Xenopus tropicalis: one gene and its partners. The protein of the gene in region 2 interacts with the protein of the main gene of each other region in a pairwise test. Links are inferred from orthologs where the notes say so. Each region holds a gene or a part of one and is shown on either strand. Other genes may lie near its edges. The genes, in order: vesicle-associated membrane protein 5-like, stx16 and napb.

Region 1 (3,685 bases), on a different chromosome or scaffold from region 2:
TGGTGTCATTGGCGGGCCGGAATTAAACAGACTAAGGGGGCGTAACGCTGGCCTGGCCCTGCCCGCCCTGGCCCGGGGGTAAGTAAATATGGCCCGTGAGCCAAAAAGTTTGCCCACCCCTGAACTAGGCAGTGGTATGAATAAGAGACAGGAATATGAAGTGGAACAGGAATATGAAACATATGAAATAGAAATATGAGGACTTAGAAAGATAAGTAATAAAAAATAACAATTGTTGCATTTAAAAGCTGGAAAGAGTCAGAGGAAGAAAGCAAATAATTCAAAAACTATAAAAAATATTAAATTTGAAGACCATTTGAAAAGTTTGAAATAACTGGCCATTCTATAACATACTAAAAGTTAACCTTAAGGTAAACTACTGCTTTTATTGTATAAAAATGATGAATGTACCAGTGAATTATACTCCTAGATATAGAAGGATTGTGCTTAAAAAAGTTGTGTTTCTGACTGATTTATTGAGAAATTCCCCCAAAACCCCACTAGTCCCGCCCATCTGTGCCACTTCCTGCTGGCTGAATTCTCTGGGTGAGCTGGGGAGCCGGCGGCTCTCAGTACACTGCATTGTAGGATAGGAACCAATCAGCAGCTAGGCTGACCTGATAGGGAACTGAAGCCTTTCTTTGCTTGCGTGAGTGCAGGGCTGTGATTGGCTCTCCCCCTCCTGCTGTGCTTCTGGCAGGGGCTGTTAGGACACGCCCACCCTTCATTTGAAACATGGACAGAGAACTGATAGGATCTATAGGGAGCTCCAATAAAGGGGCCATTTTTACAGAGAGGATTAATGTTTAGCCTAAAGTGAAAAAAGCACCTTATATTATTCATTATTGCCTACAAAATTAGAGGTTTTTTCCGTGTATCCTATATGTCTCCTTTAACAGCCATCAAGTTGCCTGCTATGCACACTTTAATATTTATACAGAATCCTTCAATCGGCATTATGGGCCTTCTTGGAAAATACCGTATTTTACCATCGATCCCGTAGGAGTGGATGATGAGACAATGCTATTCTTTCCTGGAAGGGCCATTACAACAACATCTGTGTTTGGAAAAGGAAAACTTTACCGTCACAATACTCAGCCATTTAATGGCATCTCCCACTGACCACCTGACAGGAAATAATGTAGGTTCTACCATAACAGGAAGTAGTGTGTTTGCTGTCCATTGACAACCTAGCGGTGTATGTGTGCCTGTGTTTGTGTGGGAGCACAGTTCCTTATATGAGCCAGAAGGAGGACTTTAGTTGGTAAAATGGGATTATTCCATAGTACATAATACTAGAAAAGTATATTTTTCATGCAAAGCCTTTCTTTATATGAAACATTGGATTACACATTGGCTGTTTTATGTGATATATTTTTACAGAAACCTGCATTGTACAGTTTCCCTTTACTCCCAAAAGGCCAGTGCTCATGTGTGATATAGTTCTATTATCATGGACTTCCTTAGAACCCTCACAGCACTCTCTGTTTTTCCAACCCCAGGCGAGCAACAACCTGGAATTATGTCAGCGCAACGCAGAGGAGGTGAAAGTCTTGATGAAAAAGAATGTTGACACGGTCATTGAGAGAGAAGGGAAGATCTCTGACCTAGAGGATCGATCCAATGATTTGCTTAACATGGTATGTCATGGGACAGGCCGTACGTACATGCAGTGGGCATACACACTTCTCTTTCCTGTGTGCAGCCTGCTGTGGCACACTTTTCATTCCCTTGCTTCACGTTTTGTATCCAGTTTCCCTCCCTTTGTATGCTGAGCGCCTTCCACACCCCTGTCATTATTCATACAGAACTGAGCTTGCTGCCACCCACCCCACTGTTAGTGTTTTGCTCCCCTAACATCAACATAGCTGGGCAGATGGGCATAACATTTGGAATTACAGTTCTCTGATGCCCAGCCATTACCTGCTTGCTTCAGAGCAGTGCAAAGCAGCCATGAAAGCACAGGTGGGAGCCAACTCGCAGCAGGAGTGCTTTGCTTGCAGGTGGAAAATAAACAAAAAATCTCATGTTAAACAACTCATGTAATAGATACACAATTTGAAGGAAACCAAATGTATTATGTATATTTATAATAGCTAAGGTTACTGTCTTGTCACTGTCTAGGACTGCCATGCAACTAGGGAAACAGGCCCATAGTGTCTTGTTCTGCCTTCAGTTCCCAGGCGTAACTCTGTGGCCCCAAAACTGTGTTCCTTTCATTTCCTGATGTGGATATAGTTCATCTGTCAGGTTCATTTCAGTTAAAAAGCCTATTCTGATTTGGCCAGTGCAAGCAGGTCTGGACTGGGGTTCCAAATAGACCCTGACGTTTCAAGTACACAGAGACCCAAACAGCCCCCCCCCAGCCCAATAAATAGTGACTGTCTATGGAATCTTACAGCAGCCCCTCTGGCATTTGCCTGAATCCACAGATTGTCAGTCCGGGCCTGAGTGCAAGGCTCTTCTATTGGAGACCCATTTGGTGTGCCCGGGAACTGGTATGATTAGTTTTGATTGAGCAATGTAGTACATTCCTTTGGCAGCAGGCCAGTCATACCCCCTTGAGAAACTGCAAGAGTGGGGGGAGACAGACGCTCCATGCAAGGAAAAAAGGAAAACATTGAGTAGGTGGGAGTGGGAAGGAAAGAACTTTATAACGTTGGTACAACGGGAGTGTGCATGTTGCAGACCTTTCATATTCCCACCTACCTTATTTAACATGCAAGATCAACACACAGCAGCGTGCATGTCTGCTTTCTGAATTTCACTAGAAAATGACCAGACTGTGGATGACAAGGATATAATATATCTGAATATTATAGAAATATTTAAAGTAGCAACTTTTTTTTTTGCACTTAGGCCTGCAACTTCCAGAAAACGGCCCAGACAGTGGAACGCCATACCCGGTGGCAGAAGTGGCGCTGGTACATCATTGCTGGAGGAATTGTAATTGTAATTGTGATCATCCTCATTGTCATTATTGTGTTGTTCACACTGCCAAACAATGAGACCCCTAATAATGCCAGTGGAGTGCATTAGATTAAAGGAAGGGTGTGCACAGGCCCAGACTGGCAATCTGTGGATTTTGGCGAATGCCAGATGGGGCTGCTGTAAGATGCCATAGACAGTCACTATTTATTGGGCTGGGGGGGGGGGGGGGCTTTTTGGGCCTCTGTGTACTTGAAATGCCTCGGCCTACTTTGAATCCCAATCCAGGCCTGGGTGTGCACCACTTACCATAAACTCTTGTAGGGTGATGGACTTTACTGCAAAGCTTCCCCTAAAGATCATAGCTCCTTGTAGCTTGTCTACCTGTACTTACCTGCAGGGTTGTACCCCATTGTTTTTTATTTGCAAAGAGTGTTGGATTACAGTCGTTTTTATTTTGCTGACGGTTGTGTTACAGTCCTTTCTGTTTATCTGCATAGAGACTTGCAGAGCACTGATTCTTTGTAACCCAAGAGCGGCACCGAGACCCTGTCTATGCCTCGAAGATGGAAATAATCCTTCCTTCACAAAAAGCACAATAAAATATAGTTAAACAAATCTATGCCCGCCTATTTCAGTGGGGAGAGGAAAGAGTTTAATGGCCTGGGGGGCAAAAGAACACCAGAGAGAGAATGGGAGCAAAGGTTCGTGGACTGGCAGGTATGCAAAAGAATGTTATTTATTAGGCAAACTATAA
Region 2 (3,753 bases):
AATGGGGGGGGAAGCCCTAACCTGGCATACGGTTCCTGCCCATGCCCCGGGCACAGTAATGGAGGGGGGGGGGAAGCCCTAACCTGGCATACGGTTCCTGCCCATGCCCCGGGCACAGTAATGGGGGGGGGAAGCCCTAACCTGGCATACGGTTCCTGCCCATGCCCCGGGCACAGTAATGGAGGGGGGGAAGCCCTAAGCTGGCATACGGTTCCTGCCCATGCCCCGGGCACAGTAATGGAGGGGGGAAGCCCTAACCTGGCATACGGTTCCTGCCCATGGCCCCGGGCACAGTAATGGAGGGGGGAAGCCCTAAGCTGGCATACGGTTCCTGCCCATGCCCTGGGCACAGTAATGGGGGGGGGAAGCCCTAACCTGGCATACGGTTCCTGCCCATGCCCCGGGCACAGTAATGGAGGGGGGGAGCCCTAACCTGGCATACGGTTCCTGCCCATGCCCCGGGCACAGTAATGGAGGGGGGGGGAAGCCCTAACCTGGCATAACGGTTCCTGCCCATGCCCCGGGCACAAGTAATGGAGGGGGGGAGCCCTAACCTGGCATACGGTTCCTGCCCATGCCCCGGGCACAGTAATGGAGGGGGGGGGGGAGCCCTAACCTGACATACGGTTCCTGCCCATGCCCCGGGCACAGTAATGGAGGGGGGGAAGCCCTAAGCTGGCATACGGTTCCTGCCCATGCCCCGGGCACAGTAATGGAGGGGGAAGCCCTAACCTGGCATACGGTTCCTGCCCATGCCCCGGGCACAGTAATGGGGGGGGGAAGCCCTAACCTGGCATACGGTTCCTGCCCCATGCCCCGGGCACAGTAATGGAGGGGGGGGGAAGCCCTAACCTGGCATACGGTTCCTGCCCATGCCCCGGGCACAGTAATGGGGGGGGGAAGCCCTAACCTGGCATACGGTTCCTGCCCATGCCCCGGGCACAGTAATGGAGGGGGGGAAGCCCTAAGCTGGCATACGGTTCCTGCCCATGCCCCGGGCACAGTAATGGAGGGGGGAAGCCCTAACCTGGCATACGGTTCCTGCCCATGCCCCGGGCACAGTAATGGAGGGGGGAAGCCCTAAGCTGGCATACGGTTCCTGCCCATGCCCTGGGCACAGTAATGGGGGGGGGAAGCCCTAACCTGGCATACGGTTCCTGCCCATGCCCCGGGCACAGTAATGGAGGGGGGGAAGCCCTAACCTGGCATACGGTTCCTGCCCATGCCCCGGGCACAGTAATGGAGGGGGGAAGCCCTAACCTGGCATACGGTTCCTGCCCATGCCCTGGGCACAGTAATGGAGGGGGGGAAGCCCTAACCTGGCATACGGTTCCTGCCCATGCCCCGGGCACAGTAATGGAGGGGGGAAGCCCTAACCTGGCATACGGTTCCTGCCCATGCCCCGGGCACAGTAATGGAGGGGGGGAAGCCCTAACCTGGCATACGGTTCCTGCCCATGCCCCGGGCACAGTAATGGAGGGGGGGAAGCCCTAACCTGGCATACGGTTCCTGCCCATGCCCCGGGCACAGTAATGGAGGGGGGAAGCCCTAACCTGGCATACGGTTCCTGCCCATGCCCCGGGGCACAGTAATGGGGGGGGAAGCCCTAACCTGGCATACGGTTCCTGCCCATGCCCCGGGCACAGTAATGGAGGGGGGGGAAGCCCTAACCTGGCATACGGTTCCTGCCCATGCCCCGGGCACAGTAATGGGGGGGGGGAAGCCCTAACCTGGCATACGGTTCCTGCCCATGCCCTGGGCACAGTAATGGGGGGGGGAAGCCCTAACCTGGCATACGGTTCCTGCCCATGCCCCGGGCACAGTAATGGGGGGGGGAAGCCCTAACCTGGCATACGGTTCCTGCCCATGCCCCGGGCACAGTAATGGAGGGGGGGAAGCCCTAAGCTGGCATACGGTTCCTGCCCATGCCCCGGGCACAGTAATGGAGGGGGGGGGAAGCCCTAACCTGGCATACGGTTCCTGCCCATGCCCCGGGCACAGTAATGGAGGGGGGAAGCCCTAAGCTGGCATACGGTTCCTGCCCATGCCCCGGGGCCACAGTAATGGAGGGGGGGGGAAGCCCTAACCTGGCATACGGTTCCTGCCCATGCCCCGGGCACAGTAATGGAGGGGGGGGGAAGCCCTAACCTGGCATACGGTTCCTGCCCATGCCCCGGGCACAGTAATGGAGGGGGGAAGCCCTAACCTGGCATACGGTTCCTGCCCATGCCCCGGGCACAGTAATGGAGGGGGGGGAATACTTTATCTTACACTTTAAGCCCAGGGGTAAGTTCCCCTTTAATATAACCATTAGGCAGGGCAGCCCCATACACACAGGACTACATTTCCCAGCATCCCCCCAGAGCCTCCCTGAGTTCCATGCAAGCCAATGGCGGCCCAGCTGCACCCCGACACAAGCCCAGGGCCCCTCACAGTCCATGCAGCCCCATTCCCAGCACACACAGAGGAAGCTATAGGCCTGGGGGTGCCCATCCCGGCCCCCCATTCCCGGCACAGGAGGGCCACCCCGGGCCATAGAGACACACCGAGCCCCGCCCCCCGGTGTCACAGACTCACCGCTCCCGGGCTCCGCGCACTCCCCGGGCGCCTCTCATTACTCACTTGCTCGGCCAGAATGTGCCGGTTATGGGCCGCATTGTTCCGCAATAGTAAGAAGGCGTCGGTCAGCCGGCGGGTCGCCATGGTCCGGCCTCAGCCCACTCCTACCCTCCCCAGTACCGGACACTCAAACCTGAGGGACCCGCCGCCACCGCCCCTCCGACCTGCGCCCGGCTCGCCGCATCCCACAGAGACGAGCACACAATTCCACTTCCGCCCCTGTCACAGATACTTCCGCCTCCAGCGCCAGAAGTCTCTCCCCTTTCCGCCTCCACCGACTGAACTGCATTTCCGCCCTCAGTGTGATCAGGTGACCGTGACGTCACATACTACTCGAATGGCGCGCCTCTGGAATCTGCCCTTCTGGAAACTGAAGCCTTAGGTAAAGGTTCCGGGCGTCAGGGTTGGCGGTTTTCCCGCCAAATTGGGCTACTAATTTACAGCCCAGGCGAGTTTCCAAAGTACAAACCCGCCAAGGTACAGATTTGGGCTATTTTTTTGGAGCCTTGGCGGGTTTGTAGTTTGGAAACTAGCCAGTTTTTTTCCCTAGGAAACCTGACGTACCTGACCCACTGCATGCTGGGTAATGTAGTTTGTAGCTAACAATTAGCCTACAGCTAGGATTAATATAAAACTACAATACCCAGCATGCAATTGGACAGTATAGACAGAGGCTCCCATTTCTATTCTATTCAGGCTGAACCTGTCTGTTCTATAACCTGCTCCCTGCTCTATAGGGTATGAGATTGTACCATTACTCTCTATTATGATGTGGGGGGGCTGCCATTTGTCACTTTCTGCAGTTGATCCTTAACTCAGGATATCTTGGGGCTTCTGGGAGTTGTAGTTCAACACACCCATATGTATATCAGGTCTGGGGTTAATGCAACATTCTGAATCCATTTCTGTAGGGACTTCCCAGCTGGACTGGGCACAGAGGGAATTATCAGCCATCCCAGTAACTGGGCACAGAGGGAATTACCGGCCATCCCAGTAACTGGGCACAGAGGGAATTATCAGCCATCCCAGTAACTGGGCACAGAGGGAATTATCAGCCATCCCAGTAACTGGGCACAGAGGGAATTACCAGCCATCCCAGTAACTGGGCACAGAGGGAATTATCAGCCATCCTAG
Region 3 (3,653 bases), on a different chromosome or scaffold from region 2:
ACAGTTTTTTGGCTTCCAGGGTCAGTGACCCCCATTTAGGGTGAAGACACATGCAGCTACTTGTCGTGGCTACTAAAATAGAAAATGCTGATCATTTACCGATAATTGTCTCTACGTGTGTTTTAACAGAGGCAATTCTTAGTACTGTCTATAGCACGGTGTTTTCTGGTGTTCAGTAGCCATGAAAAAGTAGCTGCTACTAGTTGCTCAGTGTGTCTTCACCCTAAGGGCTCTGGCACACGGGGAGATTAGTCGCCCGCGGCAAAACTCCCTGTTCGCGGGCGCCGGTGGGATGGCAGGGGGAAGGCAACTCGGGGAGATTAGTCGCCCGCGAACAGGGAGTTTTGCCGCGGGTGACTAATCTCCCCGTGTGCCAGAGCCCTTAAGAGCTGGAAAGAGAGGAAGGCAGAAACTATTCAAACATAAACATAACGTTGCTAAGAATTAGCTATTCTGACATATATATGACATATAAAAGTTATCTTAAAGGTGAACCACCCCTTTAATACAATAACCAGATAATATATAACAAGGCACTAAATTTGTCTTAGAACCAGTACCCCAAATCAGCCAATCAGACAGTGGAACAGTAAATAATACCTGTACCTGCTGATGGAATGGGACTAGAGTCAAGTTTGATCACAATATTACAGGCCTTTGCACATATACAGAGTCAATACTATGCAGCAGATATAAAGGAGAATAGAAAAGTAACAAGTTACCCACCTTGGCATTTAATTCATCCACAATGAAATGGCACAGTGCGGCCTTGAAGAAATATTCTTTTGCGCTGTATTTCAGTAAAGGATTATCCATTGTACTTGTACCAATCTGGGAAAAAAATCAGTTTCAGTTTGAGAAATAAAATGGCATTATTTTACTCAAGGACAACCTCCTAATAAATTTACAAACTTCACTAAATCATTCACACAGAGGCTACACACTCATTATAACATAAATCCTAGCTGTTCCCAGGCTATGTATGAGAAATAAATTATTTTTATTTACAAGTGGAATATATATTTATTAAATATTTTAGATTATGCATCACACGTACACACATATGCTCATTTCTGTTGATTTTTGTCATGCTTGGAAATTGATTAAAATCATAAATTTGTATTTAACCTCATTCCTCTTTAGAAAAATCTATTTGTTTGCAATATTACAGTATAAATATTAAACTGCTATTTAACTTCTAACCTGTTCGTAGATTTCAATTGCTTTCTGGTACTGCTCCAGCTGAGCCGCATAGGCAGCCACTTTCAGAAGACACTTGTTAGCAGAACTGAAATGCAATAAACCGAAGAAAAAAAGACTTTTAAGCATCAGAGAACAAAATAAGAACCAGTTACATTGGGTACATCCCAGAACTTGTCTGCTAATGGTGTCAATATTCTTTTTCCTCCGTTGTGTAACCAACAGCTCTAACTCTAGCGCCAATCCGCCATACAGGGTTGGAATTCTGTATTTATTCATTAGCCTTCATGCTAAATACTGACCATAGAGGCTGCAGCATATTATTATAAAATCCCAAGCCTGCATCAGGGAACAATGCGATTAAACAGCACATACCCACTCCCACAATTCCTACTGTGACCCCCATTTGCTTCAACTGACACAGGAGACCTACAACAAAGTGTTTGATATACGTGAGGACATGATTCTGACCTTTACATCTATTTCTGGCAATGGTTAGAGCAATATGTACTTGAGACAGAGTGGAAATGCAAATGATTATTTAAGATGAAAATATGGGGTTTATAGAGCCCATAAAGACGCATACATAACAATGTATGTACCTATACGTGTGCAGCCCAGTATGAATGTGATTGTAATTGAAACATAGTGAGAAGATTTTGATGTGTATATATCAGTTTGAGCATTTCTCCCAACGTTAGTTCTTCTCCACAGACTACATACTGTATACTGTGAGTAAAGGAGGAAAGGTAAAAACTAAGTAAGCTTTATCAGAAAGGTCTATGTAAATACAGCCATAAGCACTCACAGAGTCCTCTATCAAAAGAAACAGGATTTTTGTCTCCTTTTTTGTAAACATGATGTTTGGGTGTCTGACTTCCTCTCTCAGAAAAATCCTTAATTCCGTTGCCAGAGTCTGCGCAGTTCTCTCCTCTCTCCCCTCTCCCATAAGAATTCATAAAACTCAGTCCCCCCTCCTTTATGAATGTGTGATCTGAGATAAACCGCTAGACTGCAAACAGCTGCTGCTGTCTTAAACAAATGGAGAAAGCTTGTAGGTCTCTTTACTCAGGTATGGCAATGCTTTCTGCAGAATAAATATATTGTTCTAGGTGGCACTAATGTGGTGAATCTATTGGCAGTAAAATGCCAAAACAACTTTCCTTCTCCTTTAAGACTGAAAAAGCAATCCTTTTATGGGGTCTCCTCATGAATGGACTGAACCATTGCTATCACTATACTATTGCTGTACTACGGTGTTGTCCCCAGCAAATCCTCTTCCTGTCCCTGCTGTCAACACTTGGCTGCTGAATTTCTTAGGTGGGGATGTCTCAACAACTAAAAATTCTGGTGAAAATTGGTCAAGCGTGTGTCATAGACTAATTAGTCCTCCATAAACACACCAGGATACTCTGCCATATGTTACTATCTTACACAAAAAAAGCCATCGTATGACTTTGGCTGCAACCTAAGCCCCCTTCGTTCTCTTACAGGTGAGAATTAGTGAATCCATTAATTGAACTCACATATGAAGCAAGTGGAATCTCAATTAAATTTGTAAAGGTGTGGGAGAGCTGGCTTGATGTCTACCCACCAGCTGGGGGCATCTAATCATTTAATACATAGAGAACTATTAGAAAATAGGGAAAGGTACTAAGAAGACATATTCAAGAAGCTTACCTGTTTGATTCTTCTCCCTTGTAATAATCTGCAGACTGTTCATAATGTGCAATTGCCTAAGAGATAAAATGAATATAATATATAAAAATATTGAATTAAAAGGTAGATTCTTTTTGCTTTAAAATGTACATAAAATCAGGTAATAAGAATTACCTTAGAAATATAATGAAGTTTGCCTGATATTTTAAATCCTAATATCTTAGGGGCAGATTTATGAAACTGAGATTAGAGCTGACCACATCAAATTCACCCACTTTCTATTCATTCCTATGGGGTCTTAAGAAGAGCAGTTATAAATGAAAGTTAAGAGTTTGCCATTTGATTAATATGCTTCTAAAAATCGGAATAGGAATGAACAGAAAGTGGGTGAATTTTATGTGGTGAGCTCTAATCTCACATTTTGATAAATCTTCTCCTCTGTTTAAAAAGCCAAATGAAAACAGTGTCCTGTTTCTGTTGATGGTATATTTGCACCCACCAGTTGTGGTTTCTGTGTCCAAAATGAAAAGTAAATGCCCCCATAGTACTAGGTCAGTGATGGAAACATCTCTGTAGCACCAGTCACTATTAATCGACAGCAGGAAATGTCATAGCTGTGTCTGCCTTCAAATATATTAAAGGGGTGGGTTCACGTTTAAAGGGAAACGAAAGGCAAAATCACTTGGGGGTGCCAAAATGTTAGGCACCCCCAAGTGACTTTAACCGCTTACCTCGTACCCCGGGCTGGTGCCCCTGTTAGGAGAAAACAGCACCAGCCCGGGGTACCTGGAGCG

Evidence for each region.
Region 1: the proteins of stx16 (region 2) and vesicle-associated membrane protein 5-like interact in binary tests that used the Homo sapiens proteins (3 or more experiments, as listed by UniProt). The two-hybrid records come from large-scale screens. The link is inferred for Xenopus tropicalis from reciprocal best matches to the Homo sapiens genes STX16 and VAMP5.
Region 3: the proteins of stx16 (region 2) and napb interact in binary tests that used the Homo sapiens proteins (3 or more experiments, as listed by UniProt). The two-hybrid records come from large-scale screens. The link is inferred for Xenopus tropicalis from reciprocal best matches to the Homo sapiens genes STX16 and NAPB.

Annotation. Positions count from the first base shown.
Region 1 is NC_030679.2:125,676,759-125,680,443, forward strand, and holds vesicle-associated membrane protein 5-like, read left to right. Parts: upstream 1-858; 5' UTR 859-1,009; coding exon 1,010-1,141; intron 1,142-1,502; coding exon 1,503-1,640; intron 1,641-2,859; coding exon 2,860-3,039; 3' UTR 3,040-3,550; downstream 3,551-3,685. UniProt on the Homo sapiens protein: May participate in trafficking events that are associated with myogenesis, such as myoblast fusion and/or GLUT4 trafficking.
Region 2 is NC_030686.2:2,857,589-2,861,341, reverse strand, and holds the start of stx16 (syntaxin-16), read right to left. Parts: upstream 2,875-3,753; 5' UTR 2,704-2,874; coding exon 2,578-2,703; intron 1-2,577. UniProt on the Homo sapiens protein: SNARE involved in vesicular transport from the late endosomes to the trans-Golgi network.
Region 3 is NC_030681.2:24,913,260-24,916,912, forward strand, and holds part of napb (beta-soluble NSF attachment protein), read right to left. Parts: intron 2,937-3,653; coding exon 2,881-2,936; intron 1,289-2,880; coding exon 1,204-1,288; intron 832-1,203; coding exon 727-831; intron 1-726. UniProt on the Homo sapiens protein: Required for vesicular transport between the endoplasmic reticulum and the Golgi apparatus.